4 linked regions of the Neodiprion lecontei genome follow. The protein of the gene in region 2 binds, or shares a complex with, the protein of the main gene of each other region. Links are inferred from orthologs where the notes say so. Each region holds a gene or a part of one and is shown on either strand. Other genes may lie near its edges. The genes, in order: mediator of RNA polymerase II transcription subunit 4, mediator of RNA polymerase II transcription subunit 23, mediator of RNA polymerase II transcription subunit 19 and mediator of RNA polymerase II transcription subunit 18.

Evidence for each region.
Region 1: mediator of RNA polymerase II transcription subunit 23 (region 2) and mediator of RNA polymerase II transcription subunit 4 share a complex: the UniProt entries of both Drosophila melanogaster proteins name them as parts of the mediator complex. The link is inferred for Neodiprion lecontei from reciprocal best matches to the Drosophila melanogaster genes MED23 and MED4.
Region 3: mediator of RNA polymerase II transcription subunit 23 (region 2) and mediator of RNA polymerase II transcription subunit 19 share a complex: the UniProt entries of both Drosophila melanogaster proteins name them as parts of the mediator complex. The link is inferred for Neodiprion lecontei from reciprocal best matches to the Drosophila melanogaster genes MED23 and MED19.
Region 4: mediator of RNA polymerase II transcription subunit 23 (region 2) and mediator of RNA polymerase II transcription subunit 18 share a complex: the UniProt entries of both Drosophila melanogaster proteins name them as parts of the mediator complex. The link is inferred for Neodiprion lecontei from reciprocal best matches to the Drosophila melanogaster genes MED23 and MED18.

The regions. Positions count from the first base shown.
Region 1 is NC_060260.1:6,404,845-6,408,829, forward strand, and holds mediator of RNA polymerase II transcription subunit 4, read right to left. Parts: upstream 2,295-3,985; 5' UTR 2,138-2,294; coding exon 2,070-2,137; intron 1,918-2,069; coding exon 1,511-1,917; intron 1,304-1,510; coding exon 1,184-1,303; intron 949-1,183; coding exon 779-948; 3' UTR 549-778; downstream 1-548. Other genes in the region: germinal-center associated nuclear protein, read left to right, coding at 2,612-2,670, 2,801-2,992, 3,062-3,223, 3,277-3,531, 3,606-3,743, 3,817-3,985. UniProt on the Drosophila melanogaster protein: Component of the Mediator complex, a coactivator involved in the regulated transcription of nearly all RNA polymerase II-dependent genes.
Region 2 is NC_060261.1:4,255,200-4,259,829, forward strand, and holds the start of mediator of RNA polymerase II transcription subunit 23, read right to left. Parts: upstream 3,038-4,630; 5' UTR 2,859-3,037; coding exon 2,814-2,858; intron 2,633-2,813; coding exon 2,388-2,632; intron 2,316-2,387; coding exon 2,183-2,315; intron 2,075-2,182; coding exon 1,892-2,074; intron 1,782-1,891; coding exon 1,494-1,781; intron 1,342-1,493; coding exon 1,129-1,341; intron 1,061-1,128; coding exon 974-1,060; intron 864-973; coding exon 661-863; intron 511-660; coding exon 360-510; intron 271-359; coding exon 12-270; intron 1-11. Other genes in the region: E3 ubiquitin-protein ligase MYCBP2, read left to right, coding at 4,289-4,383, 4,504-4,570. UniProt on the Drosophila melanogaster protein: Component of the Mediator complex, a coactivator involved in the regulated transcription of nearly all RNA polymerase II-dependent genes.
Region 3 is NC_060263.1:2,151,300-2,155,836, forward strand, and holds mediator of RNA polymerase II transcription subunit 19, read right to left. Parts: upstream 2,923-4,537; 5' UTR 2,488-2,922; coding exon 2,301-2,487; intron 2,190-2,300; coding exon 2,033-2,189; intron 1,951-2,032; coding exon 1,851-1,950; intron 1,752-1,850; coding exon 1,470-1,751; 3' UTR 510-1,469; downstream 1-509. Other genes in the region: RNA-binding protein with serine-rich domain 1-B, read left to right, coding at 3,380-3,381, 3,771-3,893, 3,969-4,235, 4,322-4,537. UniProt on the Drosophila melanogaster protein: Component of the Mediator complex, a coactivator involved in the regulated transcription of nearly all RNA polymerase II-dependent genes.
Region 4 is NC_060262.1:34,397,768-34,402,610, reverse strand, and holds mediator of RNA polymerase II transcription subunit 18, read right to left. Parts: upstream 3,051-4,843; 5' UTR 2,789-3,050; coding exon 2,583-2,788; intron 2,338-2,582; coding exon 1,887-2,337; 3' UTR 519-1,886; downstream 1-518. Other genes in the region: transcriptional adapter 1, read left to right, coding at 3,225-3,295, 3,540-3,576, 3,666-3,899, 4,404-4,607, 4,764-4,843. UniProt on the Drosophila melanogaster protein: Component of the Mediator complex, a coactivator involved in the regulated transcription of nearly all RNA polymerase II-dependent genes.

The sequences.
Region 1 (3,985 bases), on a different chromosome or scaffold from region 2:
TCCATTACGACCGATATCAAATCAGCTAATTCCAGTCACTTTCATTATATATCAATACGCAGACGCATTTGAGAAAATAGATGACAAAATATTATTCACAAAATTGGTTGACTAACTACTTTACTTGAAAGATATCCTCAGAGTGAAAATAAAAAGTAAATACACCTCTGAATGCCTCACTGGAATCAGTTTTTAAAGTCTGGTACAAATTGCTGAGAGCGCTGATCTCATTTCTACGTACCACATAAGCCAGGAGTAAGCTCAAGGCTTTACATACCCCAATAATTGTATTCCTAACACAGACTTGCCCTACAAACATGACCCAGATATTTGTCTACATTTTTCCAATGACATTTTTTGAAAATTAATCAAGTCGTGCACTAAGAACATGAACTTCTAGAGAATATAATCCACAGCTCTGGAAAAAAAACTTTTTCGACTTATTTTACTAAGTGAGTTTTAAATAACTTGTAGAGGTGAGTAATGGGTTTAAGCTGGAATTAATTTCAATAAAATATTTTATTTTACTTATTGATACAACAGCATACATATGACTAAGCAGTTGAATTTAATTGTACAATTAGTAAAGAGAAACGTTTCAATTAAATTAAGATTCCTGTTCTTATAAAGTATATGAGAAATACTTCGTCGAGTTATACTTAAGAATGATTACAATGATTAATATGGTTTGAAAATCATATTAAAACATTCAAACCTTTTTCCTTATCATAAATGTTTTCATTCGTGAGTTGGGTATGAAGAATGAAATATTTACTGTTCATTGAGAATCACTCGAGGAACTGCTGGATGAATCTGTTGACATTACTTCAACGTCTTCCGTTTCTTGTTTATGAGTATTCATTGCTACGCTACCTTGTCCACCTACGGACATGTGGATTTCTCCTGACGGGTGCCAGGCAAATTGATTCGCCTGAGATACTGGAGGCTCTGAAATGATTTATTTTGAGTTACTTTCAAGAAATCGCTGCGATGACTTTGAGTAGATGAACTTTTTTTTTCATTGAAATATCTTCTCCAGTATATTTTCAAAGTCAATGGCGATATTCTTTTGATAAGACTAACCAGTAGCAAACAATATATTGGATAACTTCTCCAAATGATTTGGAATTGAATCGCATAGAAGAGTAATGATAAATCGAATAAGCTACTAATGTATTCTCACCACCTGCTGGATGTCCAGCTCGATGCAATTCGGCTGGAATGCCGGGATGAGATCCGATCATTTGTCCGTTCAGTGGAAGATCGCTGAGTCGCCCCAGAACGCCCAGCCTCATCTCAATATCTAGGAGGCATGAAATAATTAACATACACTAAGAGAAAGGGAAATGATATCGCTGTGAAATATTTTTGAAGTTATTCGACTCAACCAAAGAGGTAATTCCAAAAGTGTAAGATTGATAATCTGATGAGCAAGAAAAATGTTTCTGTGTAAAGTTTATTATTTGAAATAAGCATTTGGAACATTACTGCATAAATCTATCGTATTCACCTGTTGGATACGGTCGGCGTGGATCGCCTTGCTGCCACGTTAACGGAGCACAAACAGCATTAGATGCGCTAATCCTATGAGCAAATTTAATGAGTTCTTCAGAAGGAACAGGCCTTTTATTGGCCCGAGATATGGACTGGAGTTTTTGTTTAGCCTGGTATATAGCAGTGGCAAGTATTTGCTCTGCTTCTTTCAACTGACGTTGTAATTGTTGAATGTCTTGATCCTGCCTCTCAACCTCTTCCTTTAACGAATCCATTTTCTGGTTTATTTTTGCCTGTTCCGATGCCAGTTGTAAAGTTGACTTGAGCTCATTGTCTTTGGCAACTAATAACTCTGTCAGTTGAGCGTGCTCGCTGCTGGATAGTTTCAAATGCTTCTGCGCTATCGTATTCTCGATCAGTTCTCTGCAGAGAATAAAAATACAGGTATGAAATTTGAGGTCTGTGAATAATTGACATAACGACGAGCGTACTTTGCGTTTTACTTTAATTTTTCCGACCATTTTATTCGACGTATGAAATCTCGGACTCTTTTTAGCACTGGTGAAAATACTTACTTGGCTATTAATTCCATGTCATCGACAAGGGATAATAATACTTCACGTGTGCTGCGATTTGATGCCATTTTACACCTTTATGTCGTTCCAGATTTTGTATACAATACAATTATCACTTTCCAGTCATTGTTTATCTTTAAACCCGCTACTCGCTGTGCTACGCTTGGGAAACGTAACCTGTGTCGATACACACATCCAACAGTGAGTAAGCGGCAGTCCCAGCAGCCGAAGCTCTCATTGGGAGAGTCGTGCTATCCTGTAATTCGATTAGTTGAGTACCTAACCTAACATGACACAGCTATTGCTGAATGGATGCACCTGACTAGTAGTACCAATGATAGTACTTGTATACATCGTAGCGTAGATCACATGGGTGGTCACGTGACAAAGTTACATCGTGCCGCCAGCATCCAGCCGATCACTTCATTCGTGCGATTGTTGTCAGTCGAAACGTCAGTTTAGTTCGGTTCGTTCGGTTAAGTTAGTCTAAAATTATCGATCGTATCTCCTTGTTTATTTAGAGAGCGTGTAACTAAACAGTGATGTCTGACTTTATAGTTGGGACGTGTTTATTTATGTGCCCTGAGAAAGAGAGATGGATGTAAGTTGTGTGTATATTTGAATATTTTTATTCCGGCATCAGTGAAGAAGACCAGAGGGAAACCTCACTTCAGTTATTTTTATTAATTTATGTATCAAAATTTGTGGATATTCAACTGATTCTTACTCAGGAGAGAAAGAGAAGGCTTACTGCATACCTTCGAAGTTGACGAGAAAACAAAACATCTAAAACGACCAAAAGCAGATCCTTCAAAGATTGTGAAATGCTTCAGTCGACCTGCAGCCGGACAGCTCATGCCAGATACAAGCGAACTTCGACCGGCTTCTGTTCTTTTATCGACTATAAGATATTTGTTCACTAAGTAAGCCATCTGACAAGGATTTTCATAAATTCATAGCTCGCGCATGCTATATAACAAATTTTTTTGCAGTGTTGTTACGCGAGTCGATTATGACTGGGTAATGATTTATGATTTTGTATTTGATCGACTGAGAGCTATCAGACAGGAAGTTGTTATTCAAAGAATACGAGGACCTCAAAGTGTTCAAATCCTAGAGCCAATTGTTCGATTTCATGTTTACGCAGGCCAAAGGTAAAGAGACGAATACTTTCTTGCCAGTTAATTGTAATAAAATTAGTTTTCAGACTATGTGAAAAAAACATATCTGTATTTGATACGAAGATAAATAGTCAGCACCTTCTAGAGTGTCTTAAACAACTGCTAGTACTTTATGATGAACTTGAAGAACAATCCTCGATGTGTAATCCTAATTTTGAAGAAAATATCGAAAGACTTTCAATAGGTAATAACCGACCTCAAATGGAAGCTTTGTATATGCTGTTACATCTCGGTGATTCCTCGGCTCTAGGAAGAGGCATATCGCTTCCTCATAAGTACAGGTGAATTACAAGATTGTAATTACTAAGATGATACAATGCTACTTCTGGATTATATGGAACTATTATATGTGCAGGGGCAAGAACGTAAAGCTGGCCATGAAGATATCTCTTGCGTGGTTTTTGAAAAATTATGTCCGAACCTTAAGACTGATACAAAAACTTCCACTTTTGTTAAAATTCGGTGTTCTAAGTAATTTGCGGCTTTTGAGAAGGTACTTGTGCTTCAGTGCTTAATGAGATTACAAATTGTACCAAACAGATCAGGTTAATATGATCTGTTTTTAGGGACACGTTTCAAATAATGAGCGCAGCATATAACAGTAAGCTCTTAACGTTTCCTGGTCTAAAATTACAAGAAATATTGATGTATAGAGATGTTGAGAAACTTTCAGCAGATTGTAAACTATTCAACTTGTCGTTTGCATATGAAAACGTGCAATTTGATGCAAGAAAA
Region 2 (4,630 bases):
GTGTTACTCACTTATGAAGCCTTTGATTCCGAGGCTTTCTATTTCAGTGTACACCAGCAATCTGCTGTAGGTCTCGACAAGGGCAGGAGCAAGAGCCATGTTGCTTTTAGATTGAGCTAGTTTGATAACGTGTGTAACAATACTGTGAATCAGACTCATTTTAGAATGTACAGTAAGAGAATCAAGAATGGACATAGACAATGGCGTTGTTGGTCCATTTGCAAGAGCAGCATTGCTCTGTAGTGGCTGTAAGGGTTGCTGCTGTTGTCCCTGAAAATTATAATAATAAATTTTCATTTCACAAGTACACATAGTTATAAATTTTTTTCAGTTTAATGTCCTATTTGCTCAAAAATCACCTTCTGTGTGCCAAGAATTGTATCGACAAGTGCAGCCATAGGTCTACTGAAGTATTCTTGATTCGTTGAATAAGCATTGCACAGTAAAGCGATGCGATAATCAGATCCCATACACAATGATGTATTTGGCATAACTAAATGTTGTAGAAATCTATAAAGAGAGTGTAAAAATTTAATTCAATAAATACGAAATGGCCGCTGTAAGGAAAAATAAAATTTCAGTAAATAGGTACTTGTCGAATTTATGAATACATATACAATAATTAACGATACGATGAATTGCACCAAAAACGTCACATACTCATGATGAACTTTTAGCGTGTGTGGGATCGGCCTGTGAATGTTCAAGTGCTCGGATTGCGCTTTTTTAAGTAAATGAATCCATATACACGTGATGGCCATTTGATGTGTGCACAATGCCTGACTGAAATCAGGAACAGGTAGTGGTTCCTTTTCGGGGTATAATAGGTCATACAGTTTAAGTACTGGCAGAAAGTTAGACAGCTGGAATAGAAAAAGAAAGTGATGTATCGTATGCAAATATTCCAAAGCTACAATGAAGTAATTTTGTTTTTTCAGATGCGCAGATTTGAGAAAATTATTTTAATCCTTACCGGATTACGCTGAATACTCCCAGATATAAACTGCAATAGGACCCACATCAGATGATCACGCCCCTTTCGCAATTCTCGACCAGCTAGCTGAAAAGGTGGTCAAATGAGAGTCACAGTAAGGAGAAATATAACAAGTAACATAGCTTCTGTTTTACCTTGTCATGTATGGCCATCACAATGTTGGGAAAACAAGCAAATTGAAAAAGTACGAAGTATATAAGTTGAGAAGAAAGGTGTAGCCACAGCCAATGATTCGCAACAGTAATATCTGTTCCCTCAGTGGGTGGTGGATCATTTTCGGATCGCTCCATAGCCAGAAGTACCAATTCAACCAGTTGTTCCTCCAATGCTACGCACCTCTGTTTGTGCTAGATTTACATAAATTTTTACCGAAATTAGTTACCAATGCCATTGATCGTGTGACGTATATTACGTTTTTATTCAATCAAAAATATTCTTCGCCTGACTGAATTTGAATATATTACACCTGATAATGAATTGATTAATTCATTCATCGAACCTGTTTCTGGAGGCCTAGCATGGAGCAAACCATATCTCTGCTGTACGGTTGTTCCAAGACATATCTTAAAAGTTCGGTTTGAGGTTTTAGCAAATCTTGATCGTAGGGTAAATTGCCTTTGAGGGAGAATTTAAGGGTCGTAGGATCGAGCCTCCATGGGTTGATGACATGGTCCGCATATCCAGAGTGCTCTACTACGGGTAGCATTTTTGAGTGCCCGATTATAGACACCATTTGCGCAGTGGCTCTGAAACTCTCGACAAACCCAGAGAGCAGTTTTGCTAATTTCTATTTAAGAAATAATACATTATTTTCATTTGGTAAGCAAAATAGAAAAGCACTTGCGATTCTAAATCGTGAACATTGTCAAGCATTAGCTTGAGATTTTTTGAACTCACCCAATGCGGCCAATTCTTATTATCGGGATAGGCCTTCTGTATTTCATTAACAATAAAATAGCCAGGCAATAGACATGCATTTCTGTCAAATATATATTCGATAACATTTTCCAGCGCCTTTAATTGCGGCTGTACAGATGCGTTAAGTCTTGCTGGTATCGTTTGTGCCTTTTCTCTGCAGCCCTGTGAAAGATCATGGAAAAATTTATGAGTATAGTCATTTTTCAGCTATGATTTCAATCGTGTAATATTTATTCCACGATATATGATAGCATAGAAATGACCACCCGCCTTCATTATTTCTCTGACACCTTTGTAATCCACTCCTCCAATGATCCGTCTGATGAGGTTAAAAGACTCGACCCAAAAATCCTCTTGCTGATACTGCAGCTTATCACAGCTGAGGATACATTCGCAAACCAATCTGGAAAGTCGTTAAATGATGATAATGAATTTATTAATTGTTAATTTTCTTGCGTCTCCCGTAGCTTCGTACCTTGCAGGTAATACGTTACTCATGACCAAGTTCTCCAGTAACGACAGAAGAAGTTGTAAGCGACTATGATTCGTCAGCGCAGCAGCCATGTTAAGAAATTGTCTAACGCCATTCTCTTGTTGTTCAGTATTGAGACCTGTCATAGCAGATGTTAATTCTGACTGCAATCCTGCTATTTTTTCAATTTCATTATCCAGATGGTGAACGAGAAAACAGCTGAATGCTTCTTCGATAGGTTCCACTCTCTGCGTGTAATAAAAATGCATAGCAATTAATTGTTTGATGGAAAAACAAGTCGTACCTTCGACAAATAGTGCAAAATGCAGAAGTGCAGTGCTGAGTGAGAATATCGCGAGTAAGGAGATAAAACTTATTGAAAATGTGGGAAAACTATTGAAGTAATGTCAAACCTAAAAATTCACTTACAAGAATGTCATTGACGATGTTCGATATTTGCGCCTCGTTACTCATTTTTAAATAGCGAATATTTACAAGTCGCTGTTCTACGTCAAATCTCTCTGTCAAATCACTTAGATATATGCATGCGTCGGATGCAAAACAAACTTGTTAAAAAAAAAAAATCATCGACCTAACCTCGTACGGTGTAAACAGATTATTCTACGGCTTCATTCAGCAGTTTAATGAGGTGTGGTGCAGTATGGTCGAGGTGGGGATAAAAGTCTGGGGCAAATACGAGTGAAAACTGACTGAAGGAGGCACTGGAAGGAGGGGAGAGCCGGGAAACCACGCGAGTGGCGCTAACTCGGGGAACTCCAGCGGCATTATCGTCCGAGAATTGCAGCGATTGGATCTAATTTACTGCTGTCTATAAAAATTGCTTCGCCTCGCGTAGTTTTATTTCCCGATGTTTCCGCTTTCGACGTGGTTTTTGCGGCTTCGAGTTCGAGCGAGCGAGCCAGTGAGATTTCTTATCTAATTGTAACATGTCTAGGAACGGTTCGAGTGTAGCTGAAAGAAGTTATTAATTAACGATCTCATGCTGTTATCGCAGTGCATTGTTTAGCGAATTTTCATAAAAACAGAGGAAAGATGGCATATTAATTGAAAAATATTGAGTAATGTGCAAAAGTTAACTGTGAAGGTAATTTGGGACAATTATACCATTAACCATCGGTAGAAAAAAGATTATTTCAAGAAATTATTCTGATCAATGTGATATTTGATGAAATTTTGAATTAGATGTTTCAACGCCACCTTTGTTTTCAAGCTGAAATATATGCTTGAGATAAGTAATTTGCATTCTGATTAGCAGCAAACTTAATTGCAGTTGAGAATATAAACGTTGACTGGAAAAATGAGTTTTATTGAGTCTGAAAATCATTTTCAAACCGTTGGTGCATCGAAAGACTTGTTTTGTGACAGGATTTGGTATTTTCATTGTCATTCTACTATGAACAATTTCTTTTGCAGTACATATCCACACTTTGCGATGTAATTCTGGCGTCGAACCATTCAAATGCGGTGTTTCGCGACGGTAAAAATTCGATAGGCAGTGGAATCGATCTGCATTGCAGTCAACTTCAATCGCAATTCGAGATATCGATGTACGGAAATCTCATATCTGTGTTTTCAACTTTCAAGCACGATAAACGTTGCAGCTGTACGGTTAAGCGAATTGGGGGAATGAGAACTGTAATTTAATGATATAATTGATAAATTGATATTAAGTAATCGTTAGTTTTTAATTTTTCGTAATCTGATAACATTAATCAAGTTTGTTCAAATTGTGAAAATGTTTTCTCCTATCTGGATAATTAGAGAAATTTATAAATAAGTGTGATCACATGGGAAAAGTGTCAACGATCAATAACATAACCAAAATGAAGTGACCAAGTGATTTTTGCGGTAGTTTATTTAATCGGATTTATCATTACTAAACCATGGTGTCTGGTGATGTCGACAAATTCTTACCCGAGCCTGACAACTATGCCAAATACTTTCACGAGCTGTTCAGGAATATAGCGGACATTCAAAGGTATAACCTCTCAAACCGTTACGTTTGTTTACCCAACATTTACAGCGGTGACTTCATCTGTCACGAAAAAACTCAATCTAAAACTTGACGATAGTACTCATCGTGTATTTTTATTCGCAGGGGAAAGGGAGATTGGAAAAAATCTAAGAAGTCTAAGACCGCCAAAAAAAAAGACAAGAAAAACAAGGTTATCTTAATAATTTTAACAAATACTTACATTTCCACGTTTAATAGAGCCTCAAATTAA
Region 3 (4,537 bases), on a different chromosome or scaffold from region 2:
CGCTAACTCTCCAGTTCTGGACTATGTAGCCTTGCATCAGGCGGAGAGGGTTCTCGGGGTAAAACGCTTTTCGTACGAAAACTATCCTTACTTTATTTGAAAGATAATTAGGTATCAATACCAAATACGCGCGGAACGATAAAACACATATGATAAAATACAATTGTTGCAATAATGTGTTAAATAAATTAAAAATAGATCGAATGTACAAAAAATGAAATAATCAACGGCACGATAATCTTGCGCATTTGGTATTTCTCTTTCAAGTTTTCGGATTAAAACGGTGAGCTTTTAATGATTTTCATTGATTTTGCTCCAGTTTGATCACACACTTGGGATTCCGTTGGTTTTCCAAGCGTTGACTAACTGCAAGTGAGTGCAGACATATTTTGATATACTTGCCTGCGATATTGATAAAATAAATTTCAAAAGTCTCATTTTCAGTAGGCTTCTTTAAATTTTTTGGTATTGCTTCTTATTGTTAGATGTTAAATTATTCAAATATTCGGTTTAAATGTTACAGGATTTGTTATATTGTAGGTAATATGTACAAATATCATAGGATAATTCATGTTTCGATCAATCTACAAATTAGTTATACCATACATTAAATGAAATATTGGTTTCCGTTTGAAATTTGGTGAATAATAAATTTTGCGTTTATTTTACTACTTGGCATAAATATTCTTAATCAATTCATTCTTTTATAATTAGCTAGTTGTTTTGTGAACACATCATTCATCTGATTGACTTTTCTCTTGTTTAATATCAAATTATAAGAGTAGTAAGTAACAATTGTTTGCACAAGAAACTTCGCTCAAATATCGATGATTAGCAAAGTACCTCTTGTGGCCAATCAACATATTCGAAACGGTTCCACATAGATTTTCAATTCCTAGTATCGGTATTCCAACAACTGGTGGCATTGACAAATTGTCATGAATACAAACAATCTTTTTTCATAACCGAGTTTTTCTTTTGTTTAGTATTCAATAGTCAAAACAATCTATATAGACATTAGACTATACTACTGGACACACAGCCTTTTATCGAAACTGAGACGATGAAATTAGGTTTCACAGAACTGCGTGAATTCCTGGATACACTTTGGCCGATTACAGGACTAAAATGGTGTGAGTAAACAGAGTGATAGACAGGCCGAGTTCACCAATAAACATCCTATCTAAAATTACTGTAATTGCCATGAGGTTTTATTTCGCCTATACAGTAACTGATGCATGCACGACAATACATTAACATGTATTGGCTGCAGTTTAAAAATAACATGGGATATTCTTTAGTTAAGAAAAAGCTTAAATTTCTTACGTTGCGTTGAATTGAGCAAGGCACATGGGCAGTTCTATGATTTCTGAATAAATGAATTAAACTCGTCGTCTCGTTTCACTTTGTGTACGAACCACACGGGTATGTATAATCGATTAGATGAATAAAAATGGAAAGAATGGAGATCACGTATTGGAATGCTGCGAGGGTGTGAGACCTCCGGGATGTTCAGGGCTGTGTTTTTGTTTTTTTCGTTTTTTCTCTTTCTTCCGTTTCTTTCTCTCTTTCTCCTCGTCATGCTTCCTTTGTTTCTTATGCTTCTTTTCATGGGGATCAGGTCCCCCTATATCAGTGGTAGTAGCCTCTTGACCGCTCAGAGTTTCGCCAGGCTTATGTTTATGCTTTTTGTGCTTATTCTTGTGCTTTCGCTGCGGTGCCTGATTTACGTAACGATACTGCTCTGGGAGCTGTAACATTAAGAAACGGATATCAGACAGTTTTGGGGCAACAATAAAATGAGTTTCTTTAACGGAAACATGTAAATATAACGAAATGAAATAACTCACAGGTCCGGGATGTAGTCTAAATCCAGCGAGTTGCACGCTGGTGAGTGGAAGAAGGTCTTTTCCACAGATTGGAGGCTTGTCTATCACAGACCTTAGAGAACTGAAAGAGAAAAGAAATATGTTAATGAGAATAATAGTTTAAACGCGTTACAATACAAAATAATAATGTTTCAAGTTCGTACCTATTGTCTTGGTGACCAGGCGCGTCGATGATACCAGGTAAATTTGGCAAAAATGATGAGAGTTGTTCCTTGAGCTTTTTACCACTGAATTTACTATAGGAATGCTCGAGGCCATAATAGGCCATCAAATTTGTAGCCCCCGTGAGTTCACTTTGCCCTAGAAAATATTTATATGACATTTGAATTAAGCTTGAAAGAACTAAGAACTGGCAACGTGTATTTAGTTATGCATTATTCGAGGTTTTAAATTGACAAGTGATAATCTCACCAGGGGGCTCCTTCATTAAGTAGAAAGGCCCACTGTGGACGATTGAGGGGTTCTTGCCGAGGGAAATCGTCGTTTTGAGAGTTCCAGTCGAGTCCTGACGTGAAACTACAGGGGAACGGGCTCCCCTCGGTGATGATTTTGGTGAGTATTGTTCCACTTTACTACGAAACTGATCACCCATCATCATCCTCCTGGCTTTACTTCATCGCCCTTTCGCTACAGTAACAATGTTTTATCTTCCTATTTTGGCACAAGCACTGCAGCGAAATAAACAGTAGGGTAAAGACCGATGGGAACTGTGCGCTCCGCCGATGCTCCACCCGGACGTTATTTCACTGCAGCGATGATCCTCGTGTGATGCAACTGTACACAGAGAATCAACGACACTTTACACAGTCTAGTGCATATGTCAGCTATTTTAATAATCTCGCTAGACAAAACGCGAGGATCGGAGCCTCGCTGAAGAACTTGGACGCCCGCTGAGTCTCGGCGACCTTATCACATTGTTTAAAAACAATAAATAACGCGATGAAAACTGACATACATAACACCCATAATCGCGACAAACTCACTCAACGAGCTCAACCACACTCGACGCAGACAAGAAACTGCGATTTGGAAACATTAACGATTCCTGGCCTTCGAATATTTAGGTAACCTAGAAGTGCACACCTGCATGAAACTAGCGGGAGTCGTACACGCTCACTTTTGGAACACAGAATGGACCTGCACACCGTGTTTCACTCTCTATACACTCTACATCACTGTGACCGCATATAGCTTAGCTGTGTGTTCGTTCTTCTGCCGGCAAATGACGCTTTTTACATAGTGAAATAAATACGAGTACTCTTGCGCATGAAAAAAACTGAAGGGTTAAATAATAAATAAAGTGGTTATCCTTTTTGGTGTTAATGTTATCTGGACCATAAATTTACGATATCTACACGATATCGCGTTCGCGATACCTTAACCACGAGTTTTTCGCTCACAACTGGAAAGTGGACAGCGTATCGTCACGTCCATTTTATGATAGGAAATATAGATAGTAAAACATATCGCCTGTTCAACTACCGGTAACCATGTACGTAATAATTTTGCAAATTTAAAACTACTTTTATGACTCAAAATTTACCGTAATTGTTTTTGTGCTCATGGTCAGCAAACTGTGTCGTGCTTTTTTTTTTTTTTTAAACGCTGTTGCTATTCGTATGGTAAGGGTGACTAAGAGTGTCGCTTTCGGAACGTATTTCAACCTTTTGTGGGCAACAAACACCGGCAGGGTGGTTTTTATCTTGGATTCCCATGTAAATTCGGATACCAACAAAATATGATAATTCATGAAACCTTCGGTGACGGCATGATGAAGTCCGAATTTATTCTAACCCCTATTGTGTGACTCGCGAACAGTCTACCATACAAATTACATTCTATTGAAATATTTGATTTTTTATTATGTAAATATTTCCCCAGGGCACGCAGCCGCAAGGATAGCGCTGGTAAGAGCGATTCAGAAGCCACCGACAAGGAAAACAAGAAAGAAAAAGGGCGAGAAAAGAAGAAGCGTGCTGCTTCCTCGTCAAGTAGTGGTTCGAGGTATGTTCCAAACAACTACAGACATAATTTCATTATACGGACATTGAACCGATCTACACTTAATTGATTTTGCAGTTCATCAGATAGCAGCTCGGCATCTTCAAGTTCATCTAGTGGCAGCAGTTCTAGATCGAGCTCTTCGTCTAGTTCGTCATCTAGTAGCTCTGGGAGTTCATCAGCAAGCTCCCGAGACAGGGGTCGCAAAAGAAGCCGGAGTAAGAGCGCAGATGTCTCAAGAAAGCATGACAATAAAGAGAAAGAACGAGAAAAGGAAAGAGACAAAGATAAGAAGAAATCTGGTAATGCAGTGGCCGAAAAGCCAAAGCCCAAAGCCCGTTCTAGGTAAAACTATCGCTTTTACAATTTGTCTGTTAGAATATATTGTTTGCTTCGTAGGCAAAGTAAAAAACTTATAACACCTGTTTCAGGTCGCATTCACCACGGCGAAAACGTAGAGAACGTTCTCCAACACCAAGGCCGACAAAAATTCATATTGGAAGGCTGACACGCAATGTTACCAAGGAGCACATTGTCGAAATATTCTCTACTTATGGAATCATAAAAATGGTAGATTTTCCCCTAGACAGATTACATCCTCCAAGTGGCAAGGGTTTTGCGTATGTCGAATTCGAAACTGCAGACGA
Region 4 (4,843 bases), on a different chromosome or scaffold from region 2:
ATCTTGAAATGTAATTCATAGAAAGTTATACTCCCTTCACTGTCTTCGGTGTTTACAGAACACCAGTGCCAGTTTATTTCAGGCAGGAATTTGTTTACGTGGAGTTGTCTCCTTATAGTTCAGTAAAGACGTGTTTACACAGTGCTAGAAATCGGACCGATTTCTCGGACCGAAAAAAAGTTACCAGAACTCGTATCGCGTATACAGCAAACTTGGACGTAAATCGTGGATCGAAAACGCGGATGAAAAAATGGATCGCGTCCCATTATTCATCCGCATTTTCGATCCACAATTTACGTCCGAGTTTGCTGTATACACGATACGAGTTCAGAGGGATGGGCGATGTTAGTATAAAATAGCGACATCCTATTGTCGATTGTTTTAATTCTACTACCAGTCTACTATCGATGTTCTTTTAAAAACATCGGAACATCGATTGTTATCATCGGTGACGAATAAAAGCGCGAAAAATTCAAAAATTTTAGATACAATTGTAGACAGAATAATGAACGCAGAAATTTCAAGTTTTGAATTATCATTATTATTCAAAATAAAAATAAAATATGAGAACTAAATATAAATTACATTGGATAAAATTAAATTATTGAAACATTCTAATTAACAGTGAGAAATTTAATAGAAAAGTTCTATAGATGAGTTACCGACAGATGTTGGCACAGAAATTCAATTTATTCCTGACATAATGATGTCGATAGTCCAATATTTTCCATCGATTATCGATATATCGACTTTAAAACCCATCAATCAAAAACATTGATACTCGAAACATTGATGTGGGTGCATAATCGTTACCTGATCGACAACGCGAAGCCATTTGAGTTATCAATATCCACGGATTCATTTTCAATAACGCAACTCTCGACTCTCCATTCCCAGTTAATCTAGTTAAAATGGCCCGAGAATTTTGCATCGGTTCTTTTCTTTAACCATTAAGGATTATTTACTAAACGATTTAATACTAACTAATTTTTTTATTTACCTTCCAGCATTTACAAATTGCTAGACTACCTCATAGTACTTTTTTCACTCTGCCTTCCTAACTGGGAGGAAATGGTTAGTCAATATTAAAAGGATATCAAGTACCATTACCTAATCCTTAAAATTCCGGTTGAAAGGTACGATCCAATGTGGCTTACAATTAGTGACCCTTACACTCATTATCTCTCTTCACATTGTTATTTTGCTGCCCAGCCAATCTCATACTGCATCCATTAGTCCTACATCCCTGAGCAAATGATTGGTATAGTCCTGCCTTATCATAGACATAGTACAAACTTTCAACCATCCCTCAAATTACATGCTGCAGGTGTTTGACAATCATAACAGATTATCAGGAAATCACGTATCTTCTAGTATCCCTTTTATCATGCTCATCACACTTTTGCAATAATCACAAGAGTTCATATTTATTGAGTTCGGTAGGTGTTGGAGATTTAAAAATGAGATTGAGTTCAATTTCAGTTGCGAGTACTTATTCATTATTTTAAAATACTTTACTTCATTCGAAGAGTTAAAAATTAGTAGTTTCTGTATCATAACATGACTAATTGTAGCATCGATGTCGGATCTTTATTGGACTTTGTTCAATACTTTACAAATTCATTCTAATTTTATGGATCTGATTCAAATGTAAATATCCAATAGTACAATATAAAAAATCTCTATGGGTCATTGCAGTAGGAAATATTGAAATAATACTTGCATAAAGATTCCTCTTGAAAATTCGCAATAAGAGAACTACGATGTATTATCATTTCTGCTATATAGTTCTCGCACACTGAAATCTGAAAAGACAACATTGTACCCAATTGTATATTAGGAACTATTCATCAGTGATTCATTTATGGACACTGATTCTAAACCCCCTAATGACTCAGTCGTTTATAATCAATTTTTTCAAGCTGAACTAAAGGTCTTAACTGTTCGGCGAATATTCTCATGTCTTCAGCTATTGCATCTTGTCCACGTGGAGCAAGCACGCTCAATTCGACCAAGTAGCTTTGAGATATGGGTTCTACATTATCCGGTATTTTCACTTGAACCATTTTAAATATTTTTGCTACAGTTACTTTCATTCTACCCTTTCGGAACATGTATCCCTGTACAATATACTCAAAATCTATTCTACATCCCAATTCTGTGAGGAATTCAACAACTGTACTGCTTGTTGCAATGTCTATACTGCTTCGCACTATTGTCGGTCTAGACTTGTCACCTAGCTCGGGTTGTCCGATGTAACGTAGCTGCCAAGGCATATCCTGATGATCTAAGGCTCTTCTCACCCTCAGCGACAATGGTTGTTCTGGCGGAGGACCTCTGAAAGGTTAAAATTTATATTTGAAATGCTCTTCTTTTTTAAAACACAAAGTAAATTTTTAAATTTTGCTGGAAGAAAATAATGGCTCATTATATTATTATCGTGAAATATAAATTGTCACAATAGGCAAGTTACAATTTTAAAGCCGCATCTGAAACCTAGAAAATATGCAAACAATGTGAAGTACTAAGCACTCTGGGTGAATAACGACAATGTATACCAGCAAAAAGAGAATGAGATTTACCTCCTGATACTGAAACACATTTCATGATCACGAAAAGTCTCCGGCCTACTATCAACGTTATCGCACAATCCTCTCAATCTTTGCAATAAGACTTCCACCGCACTGTCCATAACCGAACCTTGCAGAAGGTATTCTTGGTTTGGTATTATATTCGACTTTACAGCAGCATTTAAGCTGTCCATCGCTGTACTTATTTGACTTGCCATTTTGGCAGAGTATTTAATTATACTTTCTACTGCGGTATGTTAATGGATTTGTCGCTACAGAATGGGGTAAATTGTCATTGTCCGATCGTCGTATTTGGTCTCTTTGCGAGGTTAAGTCACTGCAGCCTGCATACAGTCAATTTTCCCTGTTCCCAACAAATTGTCAACAATCATTGTCGCCAACCTTGTGATTGAAATTTATTAAACTTTGATGCGCGCGCATCTGACGCACTCAACGTTCACAAATCTGCACAAAATTGCTTTCTCGTTTGCACGCAACAATGTCACGATGTAAGAGGAACAATATAACAACTTTATACGATCGTGTTAGTGAGTTCGCTTATGTTGTTAGGTGTCGAAATGTCAATGTAAGAGTCGCGTGCAAATAGATGTCTGTTTATTGTCACAAAATAAATTCGAACGGTTCGATTGCGGTATGACATCGTCGAAAGAGTTGACCGTAGCAAGAAAAAGCCTTGTCGCATCGCTAGGTGATAACGCAAAACTGTAAGTTTGTTTTTATGTCACTCAACATTATGTGTGCAATGTGTGTATACAATTTGAGCTCAATTACCTTTTGTAAATATTGCGACAACCTGATCTTGGTATGATACTGTAATAACTGATTATACTAATACAGCGGTTAAAAACCTTTCTGATCTGTCACTTTGAATTCACCCTTTACTGATTTCCTTGGAATCGCAATGGACTTTGGGTGTACACATACTTAATTATCATATTGTGGTTACAGGTACTTTGAAAAAATGAAGCTGTGGTTTCAGATGAAGGTACACCAATATCTTACCTGAGTCTTGATATCCAAGAATCGTTTTGCTACTTTTTTTTTTTTAATCATACACTTATTTGATTTTCTCAGACAACTAAAGAAGAATTTGACTGCGAGGCGCGCAACATTATGACTGAGGATCAAGTCCATTTGCACAATGAATTTCTACTCTGCTTGTTCAACAAAGTACAGGGGTTAGCGTCTGTGACAACAGTCCGAACTAACAAACACAATCATACAAATGCTCATCTTGATAAAGAAAAAATGCTAGAGAAAAGGCTGCGATTGAAACGAAAATATAAAACAGACAAATCAAATTTTGAAGTAAGAAGCTGTTTTGGAATAATATTAAAAAATCCGTGATTAACCATATAGTGCCAGTACTCGGATTCAGTTGAAGAATATTATTTTTTAAAACTGCTATACATATTTCAGTTAAAATTTTGTAAAAATTTAGTTTTAAACATTTTTGCCATTAATTACCTGTCGATGAACTTATGATTTCAAGACCTTAGGATACCAGAGAGCCTGTAACTCTCTTCCAAAATGTTTGATTAAAATTCATGAACTCATAAATAAAAATTGCCATTTTGCCAAATTAGTGAATGTGCGATAGCAGGCACTATAGTGTTAAATGGGTATCTGTTAGGAATTTGATATTTTATTGCTAACATATAGAAGTATTCATTCATTATTGGTCTCTGGAAATATGTATAAAGTGGCCATAAGGCTGTGTCAAATATTTGAAAGCAGATATTTTTGTATGAAAAAAAAGCAAATACAACCTGAGAAAATTTATGTTAAGAATATAAAAGCTGCATATTTCAGCCTGCAGATGTCTACGTTGAAGTCTTGGGCCAAAGTTCGTCGCTGGTTGGAGACGAACCTATAGGTGCCAATCATTCCAGCGCGCAAGAGCTTTTGCTGCCAGATCGTACCTTCGTTTTAGCTAGACTAATGCTTGCTGCATGGGAGAATAATATGGATGGAGCTGAAGAAAATACAGCTCAAATAATTATAGCTGCTACTCAGGTACGAATATGCTATAGCTACGAGTATTTTGCTATACTGAAGTAATCAGATTGTGCAATGTTCTGGATTCGGGAAAGTACATTGTTTATTCTATTCTTCAGTCGGTTTTACCCATGATGTGAGTGAAAAATAACAACCCAATTCTCATACTTACAGGTATTTCTCAAAAATATACTCACAGCCGTAATAACTCGACGGAAAGGTTTCTCGGTGCGAGAAGGATCATTTATTCATAA